Rattus norvegicus: one gene and its partners. The protein of the gene in region 3 binds, or shares a complex with, the protein of the main gene of each other region. Links are inferred from orthologs where the notes say so. Each region holds a gene or a part of one and is shown on either strand. Other genes may lie near its edges.

Region 1 (4,377 bases), on a different chromosome or scaffold from region 3:
ATAAGGACTTTGTTATGAAATTTCAAAGACTCAACCAGGCAAGTTTTCAAAAGACGTATTTAATTTTTTGGGATGATTTCCAGTGCTAGCTAGCTCCTTATGCAGTCAAAACTGTCGTGCCAACCCAACTTTTATTCTTGCAACCTACAATCCTATTTACCGGTATTTTTATACTCACATGGGTGTTTTTAGTTACAATAAATTTATAGGTAACCAGGAATATCGTAAGACAGCTGTAAATGAAAACCTAAAAACTGCTAGAAATTAATGGAGGTAGCTCTGAATTCCCAGTAGTTTTTAGACATGTTTTTACCCAATTATCTTGTATAAGTAAGATCTCTCGGGTGCCCAAACAAGTGATTAATTTAGGCTGTTAGGAATTTGAATAATGACAACACCGACACTAATGCATTTGTTAGTTTTCTTTTTTATTATATTTGATGTGTACGAAGGTAAAAATGAAAGAAAAAAAAAGCCAAATCGCTAAGCTCTAAACTAGCACATTAATAATCCTAATCAAGCTCCCCGTTGTTCTTTTCCAAAAACAGCTCGTGCCCTCCCCCAGATAGTACAGGACTAACGATTAAGGGTTTCAGCAATAATTCCGAAAGCTTGAAACGCCTGTATCCTGAAATGACTGGATATTAGAAAGCACTTTAGAATTGGTCACATTTCCAGTACAGTCAGACATTCTGGAGACAGTAGTCTGAATGTGTCATGCCCATTTTGCCCTCCTTCCAATGCCCAATGCGCACAGCTGACCAAGCCATGACAACCATTTTGTATTGTCTTGGAAAGGACGAGGAAAGCGTCCTAGACAACCGAGTCAATTGGCTTTTTAAAGGCTGTACTAGACAAAGCCAGTTACTGTAGAGGGCATCAAAAGATCTTATGAGTGCTATGCCTCAAAAGGAAAAAATATATATAGATAGGTTCAACCTTAGTCCAAACAAACCAAAGGGGAAGGAGAGACAGTCTGTGGCTAGATACCCCACAGAAACTCGGATCCAAGAAGGATCCTGACTGCTCTGTAAAAACAGGATGAGGGTATCCCAGCCTTGTCAATGAGCTCCTGTCTCATCCCAAGTCTCAATTCCACGCCTGGAAAACACATGAGGTCTCGAGGGTGAGACCCTAAATTTAGAGATTCCCTGCGACTGCAACTAGTGTCCAACCATCACGAGCCTCTCCAGCAGCCCAGACATGGCTCAGATTCAGCCCGAGGCCTGCGGAATGCTGCAGTACAAAAACACTAGGGCTCCAGGCCGAGACTCACCAGCCTCTGAGCTGGCCATACTGCCAAGTGAGGTCGCGGCCAGACTCCAAGACGAGAGCGCGGGCGACGGTGTCCTGGAAGGGTCGAACCCGGTAGAACCGAAGGGAGTAGGAGGGGGTAGAAACCAGAGAGCGGGGAAGGAGGGGTAGAAAAGGGAGGGACGTTAAAACGGCTTCTCGCCGCTGATTGGTCAGAAGAGAAGCACTTCCTTTCGCAGCACGCGCTTAGGCGGCAGTTTGCGGGCTCCAGATACCATTCCCCGCGGACAAGATCCCGCTTAAGGGCTCTCAGATCGGCGTGCAGGGCAGCCAGGTCACCCAGCAGCCCGGCCGATCTCCTGGGGGCGTTAGAGCCGCGCTTCCGGTGAGTTTGTGGTTTTGTATTCCTCCGCCGAAGGCAAGCGAGAAAGTAGTGCGATACGCCTTGCCCAGGGTACAATCACGTGACAACGCCAAGCTCCGCCTCCCCCGTCTTCTTTGGTTATGGGCGTGGGGGAGTCTGTGAAGACGTAAACATCTTCAAGTAGAGACAGTAGGATGGCTGGTGCTGGCCATTTTAATGACTGGTTGGCCACGGGGAAGAAGCTTGTTTGACATGTAGCAAGGCGAGAAGGTGGTGTAGCCAAAAGGGTGTGGGACGGGGCATTCTAGTGGTGTCACCCAGTCGAGAAGCGAGTAATAAACGGGCGCCTATGAGGGAGCGCCCGCGGGGGGGAGGGGCGAGAACATGGCGGATTCCGGAACGCCAGCGGGCGTTGAGGCCTTGGAGCCAGGGGGCGGGGTGATTAGGTCATAGAGCGGCTCCCAGCATCCTTTGCGACGAGGAGGCGGTCCAGACTATAAAACCGGCTGCCCGGACGCAGCCGGCACCTCATTCATTTCCATCGGTCCTTGGGTTTACAGCTCCGGCCCTCGTCACCGCCGTCCCTCCGCTGGTGACGCCCCCGCAAAGGCTTCGCCGTCGCCGAGGCCTCCTTTCAGCGACTCGTCGCAACTGGATTCTCTTTCACTGGGTTCCTCCAGCACACCGCAACCATTGACGCCATGTCGAGTTATTCTAGTGACCGAGACCGCGGCCGGGATCGAGGGTGAGTATAACAAGGGACCTGTCAGGGCGGGTGGGGGATGGGAGAGCGGCGCGGCAGAAGCTCGGCTTTCCAACCGACCTTTAGATTTTTTTTTCTGGTAGGAGGCCTTGCGTTTCTCTGACATCCGGCTAAAAAGCCGTTAAAGGCGACGCTTCTGGTAACTGGGTTCAACCTTGGTTTTTGTTTGGGAGGACGGCGGCCTGGGCGACCTCGCGGCTGTTGTGGGAAGCCCGGAGGTGTTTTAGATAGGGAAGCGCCTCGCCTTAGAGTCGGCTCAAGGCGTCGTTTGCGCAGCCTTTCGCTGGGGGTTTTAGGGGGGCCCCCGGGGTCCCCAGAGAATACAAGGGGCGCTTTCGAGGCCGTCTGTGCCCGGTAGGGTGGCCTACGCCAGCGGATTCAGCCATGTGGCTGAGCCGCAGCCACAAAATGCCGGCCTCGGACATGGCGGCGGCGCCTTTGTTACCCCGCCCGGCGGAGGAGCTCAAAATGGCAGCGTCGAGAAAATGTGGCGCAGAGAGAAATGCGAGACAAAGAAGGAAGCGCCGCCCCAGCGGGAACGCCGCCCGGGCCGGGACTCCTCCCCCGGTTGCCGTCGACTCCTCCTCTTTTTCTCCCTCGCGTTATATAATTTTGTTACCTTGATTTGCAGCCGTTCGCGGCGTTTCCTAAAACAAGGCTCCCTGGCGCGTGTGCCCCTTTCTACCCTGCCCGCGGTACCGTCCTCCCATAGCCACTCACGTTGCCTGCGCAGTCCCGTTATTTCTTTAAGATCAGGCCCTTTGATGAAAACAGTGGCAAAAATAACCTTCTTAAGCTCCTCCCTTCTTGTCCAGCTCCTAGACACTTAATTCCTAAGCTCTGTGGGGAGAGAAGAGGGAGCCTCTAGCTGTTGTCCTTGTAATCTGAACTTCAGACGTTTGGGCAGTTTGGGACCTGATAGATCCCACGCTGTTTATTTGGCCTCATTAGAGTGTACTTGGGACTTCAGAAAAGAAACGCTGCCAGTTGTGGCTGTCCGTAGAATGACAGTTGGGAAGGATTCCAGAGGCACACTTTGGCTCGGATCAAGAGACATTAAATGAAATGTGGAGACAAACCTGTTCATGTAGAAGTCTGTTCACAATGTACCTAACTTTTTTTTTTGTAGGTTTGGTGCACCTCGATTTGGAGGGAGTAGAACAGGACCCCTATCTGGAAAGAAGTTTGGAAATCCTGGGGAGAAACTAGTTAAAAAGAAGTGGAATCTTGATGAGCTGCCCAAATTTGAGAAGAATTTTTATCAGGAACACCCTGATTTGGCAAGGCGCACCGCAGTGAGTATTTAAATGTGGCTTCATCGTGCTATAACTCAGTAGTAACTACTTCTGATCAATTAGATGGAAACTTAGCAGGTGCCTTGCAGATTATTTGGAGAATTACTTGTCTGACTTCCCATTGAATTTTCTCTTGTGTATTGGCCAGGTGTAATGGCCATATGTTAATCTCTGGGGAAACATCACTGGGGAAACAGGCTTGTCAGCCTATTTGGGCTTCATAGACACTTTTTTTTTTTAATGTGTATTGTGATTTTTACTGCTAAGTAGAGTTCCATTTATGGGTCCAGATAGTTAGAAATGAGTGTAACTGAGCTGTAGGGAACTTGTCGGTGTATCTGGCCTAGGTCTGAGACCAAGATCATTTGTTTTTCAGCAAGAGGTAGATACGTACAGAAGAAGCAAGGAAATTACAGTCAGAGGTCACAACTGTCCAAAACCTGTTCTGAATTTTTATGAAGCAAACTTTCCTGGTAAGGAATAAATTTTATCTTTAACCCTTTACGTTTTTTCCCTCTTTTTTTGCCTATAAGTTTTTGTTAAAATGGTATTGTTGGTTGCAGCAAATGTCATGGATGTGATTGCAAGGCAGAACTTCACTGAACCCACTGCTATCCAAGCTCAGGGCTGGCCAGTTGCTCTCAGTGGATTGGATATGGTTGGAGTAGCTCAGACTGGATCTGGGAAAACATTATCTGTAA
Region 2 (4,383 bases), on a different chromosome or scaffold from region 3:
CAATTATGAATATTAAAAGGGAAAGTGAGACAAAAGTATTCCCAACTAGATTATCTACATTAATATGTTGGAATTCTATATTTTGCTGTCATTTTTGTCTTTAAAAAATGAAATAACAACGCTCTATCAGTCACACAGAGGACATGCAGATTTAGCAGTATTGATATTATACTCTGTTTGGAAATAGACACCCTGTACCCACATGTACACCAACAGCAGGCCACACATTAACAGTTGTAACTAAGCACTGTGACAAATTAGCCATTCTTCCCACATTAGTCCCTATTAAAACAAAAAGGGGGGAAGGGAGCAAATAACTGTTACAAAACGGGCAATTTTGCCACAATTGCCAAGGTTTTAAAAAGCAAAGCAATTGTAGCTGAAGATAACTGCATAAGATGTTTGCAAGTCTTTTAAGGTAGATAAAATTTTAACCCTCGCCTTTTAGTATAAGGTCAATACTGCCAATTTCATCTGTGACAATAGCACTTGGAGTCATACCATTGCCTCCATTATTGATCTGATCCTCCTCAATCCTCCTTTTGACAATCCTAAAATGATTGAAATGTGCTCCACAATCCTTAATCCAAAGCATTCTTAATCCATCTCTTCAGATATGTCTACAGAAAGACACATGAAAAGCAAGATAAACATAAGAACTTCCCCAAGTAAGATAACCACAAACACCCCCAACATCCCATTTCACACAAACCAGAGCAGAATAGACATTTACATAATATCACAGTCTGAAGAGCATGGAAATTAACTAAATTTAAACAATCCTGTCTATGACATCACTTAAAATACAAGTTACCAAAGACATGAGGGGAATGTAGATGTTAGGAGCAAGGGGATATTACACAAGAATGCAATTCAACACTTTAGCCCATTCTGAACAAAACAGTTTGAATTAAAAAAAATGAAAAGATTGTACTGAGTAAAGGAAAACTGTATACAACATGGGTTCTACAAAAAGTGTCACCAATCATCTTATGTACGAGAGCGAGATCTGCTATGACGGGGAGAATAGCGTGGTGATCCTCTGCTTCTCCTTGGGGAGTAACTGCGACTCCTGCTGTTGCTTCTGCTACGGCTTCTGCTACGACTACGGCTTCGAGATCGAGATCTTCCATAACTTGGACTTCTGGGCCCATCAACTTTAACCCGGATGTAGGCAGTTTCTCCCTATTGGATAGACAGAACTTTCCATTGAAAGATCTAAGCTTTTACCTGTCTTTCAGACAAGCTGAATGAATACAAAGACAGACCAGGTCTCTGGTAATTTACTCGGACACCCTTGCCTGTATCCTTACCTTCAAATTCCACTGTTAAGAAAACTGTATCCAATTCTGGCCAAAAAAAAGAATAAGTGTATAACCTACCTCATGAGATCTAAACTTAGTGTTATCCAGTTTTCGAACTGCATACGTCATATCTTCTTTCCGTACAAACTCCACGACACCAGTGCCATCTCGGTAAACATCAGCATAACATACATCACCTGCTTCACGCATGTGATCCTTTAAGTCCTGCCAGCTTCCACTCGGAGGCAGTCCTGAAAAAGTGAGTCCCTCCAACTTAATACTACTTAACCTGTCCCACATCAAACGTGTAAGTACATTAAAACAAAGATTAGTTTAAAATACTTAATGATTGTACTTAAGTGTTTCCAGGTAAAGAGCTGGTAAGAGTCAGATCCAGAGTCCAAATTTATTTGTAAAGGATCTTCATAGGCTAGTACTGCAACCTAATTTGGGTAAATCACCACCACAGTAATCTTCATTTACTAAATTCACCCGAAAGACCGAAGTAGTTTAAGACCCCATGTTTAAAGCAAAACAGAAAACTTGCAGACCTCAAAACAATCACGCGGGAAAAATTTTAACCCGCACGAAGTCAACTCACCAGAAACAACCACTCTGTTTTCAGACCGCCTGGATGGCGGGCCATAGCGGCCTCTCGGGGCTCCGCCGCCTCCACCCCCGCCGCCGCCTCGGCCGGTCCCACGGCCGCTTCGGGGAAACTCTACCCGCAGACGGTAGCCGTCGTAATCGTAGCCGTCGCGACCGTACACCGCATCTTCCGCGTCTCTGCGTGTGATCACAGAAAGCAAAGGGGATGAGGAGGGAGCCGCTGGCAAAGCTAACTCACTCGGGAACCCGCGGACAGCGCACATGCGCACCCATGGTGCCAGAGCCCACATGCGCTGCATAATAGGACCGGCCCCTCCCCCACCCAGAAACACGCCGGGCAGACTCCCGACCACCACGCCAGCCCTCAGCGCCTCAGTTTCCCGCTCCGGGGCTGCGCATGGGCTCTGGGGACGTCCGAGGCGGTCAGCCACCGGAGACAACGCGCCGACTCGGCTCCTTACTCGACTCCTGCAGGGGCGATAGCGCCTCGCTCCCAGCCTCGGAGCCCCTCCTTCCCCCATTATGTTAAGGCCTCGGAGCCTTCCCCAACTACTCCAGCCTATCTCCTCAAGGCCGCAAGCCCCACGCTGCCTCACCGCGGGTCCTCGAACTCAACGAAGGCGAAGGGCGGTCCCCCGCGGCGGTTCTTCAGGTCGATGTCGCGGATAGCGCCGTATTTGTAAAACACGTCCTCAATGTCCTTGGTTCGGATGTCTGGAGGTAGGTTACCCACGTAGATGCGGCAGTCGTTGTTCCCTGCCGGGCCACGAATCACACCACCTCCTGACATGGCGGCGACGAAAAGCGCGGACTCGAAAAGAGGCCTTCCCACCAAGCCTAGCGTACGGCAGAGCGAGCCCTCAGCGGCACCACGTCTCCCGCGGCCGGTCCAAAATGGCGCCTTTATCAGCTCGGCGCACTGATATGGGGGGGAGGGGGAGGAAGAGAAGCCGGAGGAAGCGGCTATTCCATTTCAGTGCGCACGCGCACGAGCGTAACGGGTGCTGAGAAGTACGCTCGCGCACGCGCGACGTCACCCTCCGCACGGAGGGGAAAAAGTCCCTCGGGTCCTGGGCTTATGGGATGATTGGCTGGTGGAGCGGCCAGACGTTTGGTAAAAGTCACATACTCTGGTTAAAGGGGTTATTACCAATCCTGCTGAGTCCAGGATAGTCGGTTTCCTCTGGCGTAAACTCTCTCTGGAAGCAGCTCGGCGCTTTAAAAAGATTGGGTGAAACCTAGCCTGCAACTGTGTCCCAACATGCTCCGCGGTGGTAACGGCCTTTGGCGGGAAAGGCGTAGGGGGCGGAGCTAGATGACGCTGGGTGTTGCTCCGGAAACCTGGGCAACTTTAGCACTTCGGTGCGGCCGGCCGAGTTGCAGGAGATTCGTTTAACAGCCTAAGGGGAGCTGTGTGGCTTTTGCTTCTGCGAACCTGCGGTGGGCTGCATTTTACACAGTTAAAAGTGTCTAGACGGATCCTCCATATCTATTTAGATGAACCGTGCCTTCGCTTTTTTTCTTCCTCCTTTCAAAGGATGAAAAAGGAAACGTGATAAAATACTAACTGCTTCTTTGGGCCGAGATCCGGGTTCGGTGCTAGTCTAGGGAGATAACTTTTTCCCCGAGATTATCTGAAATAGGATTTTTGTACTGGATACCACAATTTTGCTTCTTTGTTTTGTAATAACGGGAATAGGAGAGTTTTATTTGTGAAATCATACAGGCTTTTTAATTAAAACAAAACTAAGCTGGACTTAAGTCTGTGTGCCTGAAATCCTATCACTCTGGGAGCTGAGGCAAGGAGGTGATAAACCTACTCTGTGATACACATTTCTATTAAAGGTCAGCCCGGGACATGCAGGGAAACCCTTTCTATTAAAATTTTTTAAAAACAAACCTTTTTCTTGGCATTGTTTTTGAGTTTCGGGTTTCTGTTTTGGTTTGAACAGCCCCTGGCTGTTTTGGAACTCAGATCCTGCTGCCTTCTAAGTGCTAGGATCAAAGATGAGTCACCACCTCCTGGCTAAAACCAGAACCTTTCCTGTTTAGATAATAAGACAGCCAGGTGTGGTGGCGCATTCCTTTCAAAGTAGGCCTCAGAATCTCAGGAGTTCAAGGCCAGCCAGAGCTGTGCAGTTCCTATCTCGAATAAGTATGCTAAATCGGATCCCCGGAAATTTTAAGGTTGATTCTCTACACTGTAATTTTTAGTTTTCAATTTTATTTTATGCATATTGTGCCTTGGGGTGGTGGGTCATGCCCCAGCCCATGTGTGAAAGTTAGAAAATAAAGTGCAGTTCACCACTTGCACTATGTGTGGTCAGGCTTTTGAGGAGCATCTTTATCAGATGAGCCATCTGCTGCCCCTATACATTATCATTTATTTACCACAGTCCAGGGATGTAGGGCTGCTTAAAATGAAACCATTAAATATTAAGACTGGCTGGAGAAATCAAGGACAACGGGG
Region 3 (2,818 bases):
CCATTAGAGTTTTTATAGATCCTAGATCTGAGTCCTGGAACAGAATCAGGATAGTTTGTTTCCATTCACCCTTCTGTCTCCAGTTGATACACTTCATCAGCCAGTCCTTCTGTGTATTTGCCTTCTATGTAGTCTGTATTTGCACTTACCTTTGGGGCAACACACAGTTCTCCTTCTCCAGACTTAATTGGTTCTTCCATGGCAGAACTGAGTACTGGATGTGGCCCCTAAAACATGTTTGAATGTATAAATACCCATTAAGCCTTTTCCATTTATCTTTTAGGCTTTAATAGTTCTGTATTTTATTGACTTGCATTCATTGTTTATATTCTTAGGCTATGGATGGATTTGTTGTATCATCTCATGAGTATTGTCTTTTGATTTAAAGAATATTTTCATTTTTATATATAATGGAATGTAGTTACACTTTGTTATATTTAGTTCTAATTTTCTCTGTGTGATGTTAATATATTGGCTCAGTGCAGAAAATTTAGAATATTTGAAATTATCTAAAGGAAAAAAGTATCCATGGAAACAAAAAATTCCTATAATACTGTTAACCAGAAATAACCACCATAAATTAATTATACCTGATACATAATAGAAATGAAATAAGTACCCTCGAAGTGAATGAATTAAAAGTTTTATGCAGTCTTTGTTCATATAGCTCCTTTGAAAATCTTACTGATAAGAACTTGTAAAATAATAGTTTTCTTTGTTTCTCTTACTCTATTGTATACACTTTTTCATGACAATAGTTTTCTAATTTTTTTAAAGCCACATTGAAATTGCATTGAGCCAAGCTTGCCACCAAGAGTCCATCAGTCACCATGATGCTGAGCACAGAGGGCAGGGAGGGGTTCGTGGTGAAGGTCAGGGGCCTACCCTGGTCCTGCTCAGCCGAGGAAGTGATGCGCTTCTTTTCTGATTGCAAAATCCAAAATGGCACATCAGGTGTTCGTTTCATCTACACCAGAGAAGGCAGACCGAGTGGTGAAGCATTTGTCGAACTCGAATCTGAAGATGAAGTGAAATTGGCTTTAAAGAAAGACAGAGAAACCATGGGACACAGATATGTTGAAGTATTCAAATCCAACAGTGTTGAAATGGATTGGGTGTTAAAGCATACAGGTCCAAATAGTCCTGATACTGCCAATGATGGGTTTGTACGGCTCAGAGGACTCCCATTTGGCTGTAGCAAGGAAGAAATTGTTCAGTTCTTTTCAGGGTTGGAAATTGTGCCAAATGGGATGACACTGCCAGTGGACTTTCAGGGGCGGAGCACAGGGGAAGCTTTTGTGCAGTTTGCTTCACAGGAGATAGCTGAAAAGGCCTTAAAGAAACACAAGGAAAGAATAGGGCATAGGTACATCGAGATCTTCAAGAGTAGCAGAGCTGAAGTCCGAACCCACTATGATCCCCCTCGAAAGCTCATGACTATGCAGCGCCCGGGTCCTTATGATAGGCCAGGGGCTGGGAGAGGGTATAATAGCATTGGCAGAGGAGCTGGGTTTGAAAGAATGAGGCGGGGTGCCTATGGTGGAGGGTACGGAGGCTATGATGACTACGGAGGTTATAATGACGGGTATGGTTTTGGGTCTGATAGATTTGGAAGAGACCTAAACTACTGTTTCTCAGGAATGTCTGATCATCGATATGGAGATGGTGGGTCCAGTTTCCAGAGCACCACAGGGCACTGTGTACACATGAGGGGGTTACCATACAGAGCCACTGAGAATGATATTTACAATTTTTTCTCACCTCTTAATCCCATGAGAGTACACATTGAAATCGGACCTGATGGCAGAGTCACGGGTGAGGCAGACGTTGAGTTTGCTACTCATGAAGACGCTGTGGCAGCTATGGCAAAAGATAAAGCAAATATGCAGCACAGATATGTGGAGCTCTTCCTGAATTCTACCGCAGGGACGAGTGGAGGAGCTTATGATCATAGCTATGTAGAGCTCTTTTTGAATTCTACAGCAGGGGCAAGCGGTGGTGCTTATGGCAGCCAGATGATGGGAGGGATGGGTTTATCCAACCAGTCTAGTTATGGAGGTCCAGCCAGCCAGCAGCTGAGTGCTGGCTACGGAGGTGGTTATGGTGGTCAGAGCAGTATGAGCGGATATGACCAAGTTCTTCAGGAAAACTCAAGTGACTATCAGTCAAACCTTGCTTAGGAAGAGAGGAAGCATCAAAGAGCATCTACAGGAATAAAAAGTACATTATAGGAACTGGATAGAGTAGGGAGGATGTCCAGCATATCCAGTATGATTGGTAAATGGGAAATACAATTGCTTCTGATCACTATTGGTCAGCTTCTTTCTTTCTTCTTTCTCCTTTTTTTTAAAGAGAACAAAATTTAAGTTTAACAGTTTCGCATTACAAGCTTGTGATTCATGCTTACTGTAAAGTGAAAGTTACGATTGTTTTCAAACTTTAAGCTCAGCAATTTTGAACACTGAAAATATTCATCTAGGATGTAATAACAAGTTCAGTATTGACCATAACTGTCAATTCCACTTTCAGCTTTCCTCAAGTTAGTTATGTTGTAGGAGTGTACTTAAGCAGTAAGCATCTTTAGGTTTAAAGCAGTTTCACTTACGTTAAATGTTGCTCTTATACCACAATACATCGAAAACTTCAGATGCATGTTGAGAAACATGCTTTTCTGTAAAAAATATAGGAGCTGTGTCTGATTCAAAGTGACATTTGGCATGTTTGTTAATTCTAGCTTTTTGGTTTAATATCCTGTAAGGCACGTGAGTGTACACTTTCACCTTTTTTTTTTTTTTTTTTTTAAAGATCCGGGACAATT
Region 4 (4,093 bases), on a different chromosome or scaffold from region 3:
AAACAGTCATGAAAATTACTTCTTATGGGAGGAGTTTGAATTTACGTTGGAATCTAACAGTTAAAGTCTCCTGTCACATGACCTTAGTTTATCACTCAGTAAGTGAAACTTTTAAGAGTCAGCATTTTCTTAGACCTCTTCAAACCAACTATTATTTTTATATGAATCTCTAAATAAATTAGCTTTCCCCACAAGATAAAGATATAAACCAGCTTCTTGGTATAAATGAAATTTTATGTATTTATTTATAAACAATTTCAATGTATAACTTGAGAATTCTGAAGTTTCCTCCAAATAAAAGAACATGCATATTGAAATGAAAAAAAAAAAAGTGACCATATCTGGGCTGGAGAGATGGCTCAGCGGTTAAGAGCACCCGACTACTCTTCCAGAGGTCCTGAGTTCAATTCCCAGCAACCACATGGTGGCTCACAACCATCTGTAAAGAGATCAGATGCTCTCTTCTGGTGTATCTGAAGACAGCTACAGTGTACTTATATATAATAAATGAATAAATCTTTAAAAAAAAAAAGAGTGACCATATCCCTCCTAAACATTTCCCTTAGATGCCCCCATCAAAACTCATGGTTAGAACAATAGTGCCATTTTATTCTAGTCTAGTAGGAAGCCTGGCTTTCATATTAGCAGGCCACGGTACACAATCACTCAGACTGTCCAGTTAGTGCTCACTCCTTGCATGCACCCTAGGACTTCCACCTCCACTCAGCCCCTCCCTGTTCTCCCGGCACAGGAGGATTTGACCAGCCATGCCGGTCGCACCTGCCGACTCCGGAATCCGAGGCTACGCGCACCGGACGACCGCCCAAGGAGTACACACCTTGACCCTGATCCTATAGCTCCACCCGGCTCCACCCTACCCAGCGGCCTCTCAACCCTTTTCTCCGCGTAGCTCCGCCCCACCTCGCTTGGCCCGCCCCTCGCTGTTAAGAGCTCTGGGTCGGCGCTCTCTTGAATGAGAGGTTTTTCCCGGAGACACCACGCTTTCCTTCAACCTTCCCAACGGCTCCGCCTTCCCGCCGGAGCCAGACTCTTCCCAGCGTGCCCGGCGACTCCGGCGTGCGCAGACTTGGGAGGGCAAGGCCCCCAGGGCCTGGCGGAGGTGCGCGAGGAGCAGGCTGGGAATTGTAGTTCTCGAGCGCTCGAGGGCGGCTGGAGACTGGCCGCCGGCAGGACTCATTGTCCCAGTGTACCCTGCGCCTTAGCCCGCGCGCTCGCAGCTTCTCGCTCTCTGCCCGCCCTCCCGCTCCCTTGCTAGCTCGCGCTTTCCTCGCGGATCGAAGAGACTCCGGCTACAGCTTGTGGCTGGGAAGGGAGACGGAGGCCGCAGCTCAGGGAAAGTGAAGCTGCAGTAGTGGCAGTAGGAAGATGTCGGGCGAAGACGAGCAGCAGGAGCAAACTATCGCCGAGGACCTGGTCGTGACCAAGTATAAGATGGGGGGCGACATCGCCAACCGTGAGTGCGGCCTCGGGGGTCTTGGAATCGAGGCTGAGAGGGAGAGGTTTGGGGCTGTCTCCGAAGGGCTGTAGCGGCTGGGTCTTGCGGAGTGAGCCACCGAGGGGCGCGTGCCGACGGCCGGGGGCGACGTGGTGGGGAGATCTGGTGTCGCCCCGGGAACTGAGCAGCCATGCCTGGGCTGGAGAGTGGAGGTGCGGGCCGGTGACCGCGAGGAGCGCAGAGAGGGGCCCAAGCATGCTCCGACCCTAGGCGGTTGGTAAGAAGGCAAGGCGCGTCGTCTTCTGCCCATCACCCTTCGGTCTATCGGGTCTTTGCTCCTGACTGGCAGCAGTGAGGCCACCTCGAAAGGGAAGCGGCCAGCTGTTGGCGACGGAAGCGCCCCTTTGCCAGTCGCGGCTCTTGACCCGCGGGAGCCGAGCCGGCACGTGTTGCCAGGTCCCTGTACGGATCGCTGACTCCCCACTTCCTCTCCTACCGCTCCTACCGTGCTTCACCACGTGCTTTGCTAAAGTCTTTAGGTCTTCTTGGTGGGGGCCCCCCTTCTCCCCTTGACCTAGCTTGGAGGGACCGTTGGAAGACACGACTGGAGCTTCTAACACAACTCTTAAAGATACCTGGCTCTCGTGTGTGGCTACAGGATTTAGTAGGATTAGCCTTTAATTTTTTGTTTTTAGAGTCTTTGCAGTGTTTTGAGGTTCTGCTTAGACAGCTGGGCAAGCCTGTCAATAATACTCAAAAGGGGTGGAGAGGGATTTTAGGAATATAAGCATTTCTTATATGGTCTTTACTCTCTTTAACAGTTGTCTGCCACTTGGGCAAACAACTTTCCTGTTTTCTTGTTCCAGTTCTTCTCCCTTGCCCTCTTATTTTCTGGGGCTTTCTGTGTAGTCCTGGCTTTCCTGGTACTCCTTCTTAGACCAGGCTGGCCTGAGAGATCCGCCCACCTCAGCTTCCCAGAGTGCTAGAATTAAAGGCGTGTGTAACCACGCCCGGCTCTTTTCCATTTTTAAAAGTCACTTGAGATAAAAACTGTCTTAGGTCTTTAGAAGGTCTTGACAAAATACTTGGAAGAAGGTATTTAGGATGTCTGGTTAAATCTGAGTTCTTTTGGATTCTAAAGAGTAACCAAAACATAAATCATCAAACCTAGAATTCCCATGTATCATAAAGACATACAAAATTAATACTTTTATTTGGGGTGATGTTTTAGTATTTGATAGTGGTTTGAATAAGACAAAAATTTCCAACCCTACAATTGCCTTAGGCGATAATAGCTTTGAAAGGGTTACATGTTTTCTTGATATACTGGAAGTAGACTTGTAGCCCTCTGAATCTTTGAGACCTTAGGTTAATTCCCCTGGGCTTATATCCTTATATGTGGGGAAATACAGCTACATAAATTATGATTACTACTTGGTGTCTGAGGAGGGAAGAAGGTAACATTTAGCAATGCTTCATCTTTGACTCAGCAATTCTCTACCTTCCCATTGTCCCTGACGCCTATAAATTTCTTCTGGTCTGCTTGTGAGTGTAGGGTATCTTGGGGCAGAGTTTCCTGACCATCATGATTCGTATTGCCATAGCATCCTTGGAGTGTGTGAGACTTGGGGCATATGCCCAAGTGTCAAGTAATTTAAAGGAGAGAAGTGAGTCCCCACCTCTTTATTTTTGGAAGGGAAGGTAGAAAGTAGAGCTGGGTATGGTGGTCACCTTTAGTGATACTTGTGGGAGGCAAAGGCAGGCAGGTCTACACCGTGAATTCTGGGACAGCCAGGGGTATATATGTCCTGAGAACAAAGACATTAACGATCACTCCATTAGGGCGTGTTAGAAACTAAACTGAGCTTCGGGTCCAATCAGATGATGAATGCATACAGGGCTGATGGTGCCACTCTCGTCCCCAGGGGTGCTTCGATCTTTGGTGGAAGCTTCTAGCTCAGGTGTGTCTGTACTGAGCTTGTGTGAGAAAGGTGACGCCATGATTATGGAAGAGACAGGGAAGATCTTCAAGAAGGAGAAGGAGATGAAGAAAGGTAAGAAGGGCAAATCTCCCTCTTAACTTCCTTAATTTCTCCTATTTGAACCCAACCACCTAGTCGCCCTCCCCCGCTCCCCCAATGTCCGGTTAAGCTATTTGGAAATCTGAGTAGCACATGGGATGGGTATGGTTTCCCAGACTGAGCTGAGTATGGAAACCAAGTCCCAGCAGGGGGTGTTCCCTGGTGAGAGCGAGGTGGTAAGGTTGGTGCTCTTTTGCAGGTATTGCCTTTCCTACCAGCATTTCCGTAAATAACTGTGTGTGTCACTTCTCCCCTTTGAAGAGTGACCAGGACTATATACTCAAGGAAGGCGACTTGGTAAAAATGTAAGCTCAAGCCTTTCTGCAGTATTTGTCGTTTTCCTGCGTATTCCAACTGTCAGTTCCTAATGCAGTGCTCTGTCTTGTCTTCCAGTGACCTTGGGGTTCATGTGGATGGCTTCATTGCCAACGTGGCTCACACTTTTGTAATTGGTGTAGCTCAGGTAAGAGCTTTGAGGAGAGGATAGACTGCCGCTTGTGCTTTTAATTTGTACATAGCTTTTTATGTCTTTATTGTTTTAAAATATATAGTCTAT

What was found.
Region 1: Hnrnph2 (region 3) and Ddx5 share a complex: the UniProt entries of both Homo sapiens proteins name them as parts of the ribonucleoprotein complex. The link is inferred for Rattus norvegicus from reciprocal best matches to the Homo sapiens genes HNRNPH2 and DDX5.
Region 2: Hnrnph2 (region 3) and Srsf1 share a complex: the UniProt entries of both Homo sapiens proteins name them as parts of the ribonucleoprotein complex. The link is inferred for Rattus norvegicus from reciprocal best matches to the Homo sapiens genes HNRNPH2 and SRSF1.
Region 4: Hnrnph2 (region 3) and Pa2g4 share a complex: the UniProt entries of both Homo sapiens proteins name them as parts of the ribonucleoprotein complex. The link is inferred for Rattus norvegicus from reciprocal best matches to the Homo sapiens genes HNRNPH2 and PA2G4.

What each region holds. Positions count from the first base shown.
Region 1 is NC_086028.1:92,229,102-92,233,478, reverse strand, and holds the start of Ddx5 (probable ATP-dependent RNA helicase DDX5), read left to right. Parts: upstream 1-1,550; 5' UTR 1,551-1,639; exon of another isoform or gene 1,640-1,650; intron 1,651-1,747; exon of another isoform or gene 1,748-1,888; intron 1,889-2,178; 5' UTR 2,179-2,319; coding exon 2,320-2,363; intron 2,364-3,510; coding exon 3,511-3,676; intron 3,677-4,052; coding exon 4,053-4,149; intron 4,150-4,239; coding exon 4,240-4,373; intron 4,374-4,377. Other genes in the region: Cep95 (centrosomal protein of 95 kDa), read right to left, coding at 1,277-1,295. UniProt on the Homo sapiens protein: Involved in the alternative regulation of pre-mRNA splicing; its RNA helicase activity is necessary for increasing tau exon 10 inclusion and occurs in a RBM4-dependent manner. Binds to the tau pre-mRNA in the stem-loop region downstream of exon 10.
Region 2 is NC_086028.1:73,334,942-73,339,324, reverse strand, and holds the start of Srsf1 (serine/arginine-rich splicing factor 1), read right to left. Parts: upstream 2,828-4,383; 5' UTR 2,704-2,827; coding exon 2,510-2,703; intron 2,091-2,509; coding exon 1,906-2,090; intron 1,556-1,905; coding exon 1,383-1,555; intron 1,186-1,382; coding exon 991-1,185; 3' UTR 621-990; coding exon of another isoform or gene 582-620; 3' UTR 1-581. UniProt on the Homo sapiens protein: Plays a role in preventing exon skipping, ensuring the accuracy of splicing and regulating alternative splicing.
Region 3 is NC_086039.1:102,077,140-102,079,957, forward strand, and holds the end of Hnrnph2 (heterogeneous nuclear ribonucleoprotein H2), read left to right. Parts: exon of another isoform or gene 1-777; 5' UTR 778-830; coding exon 831-2,180; 3' UTR 2,181-2,307; downstream 2,308-2,818. UniProt on the Homo sapiens protein: This protein is a component of the heterogeneous nuclear ribonucleoprotein (hnRNP) complexes which provide the substrate for the processing events that pre-mRNAs undergo before becoming functional, translatable mRNAs in the cytoplasm. Binds poly(RG).
Region 4 is NC_086025.1:1,573,968-1,578,060, reverse strand, and holds the start of Pa2g4 (proliferation-associated protein 2G4), read left to right. Parts: upstream 1-1,266; 5' UTR 1,267-1,386; coding exon 1,387-1,474; intron 1,475-3,381; coding exon 3,382-3,510; intron 3,511-3,736; coding exon 3,737-3,842; intron 3,843-3,930; coding exon 3,931-4,000; intron 4,001-4,093. UniProt on the Homo sapiens protein: May play a role in a ERBB3-regulated signal transduction pathway. Seems be involved in growth regulation. Acts a corepressor of the androgen receptor (AR) and is regulated by the ERBB3 ligand neuregulin-1/heregulin (HRG).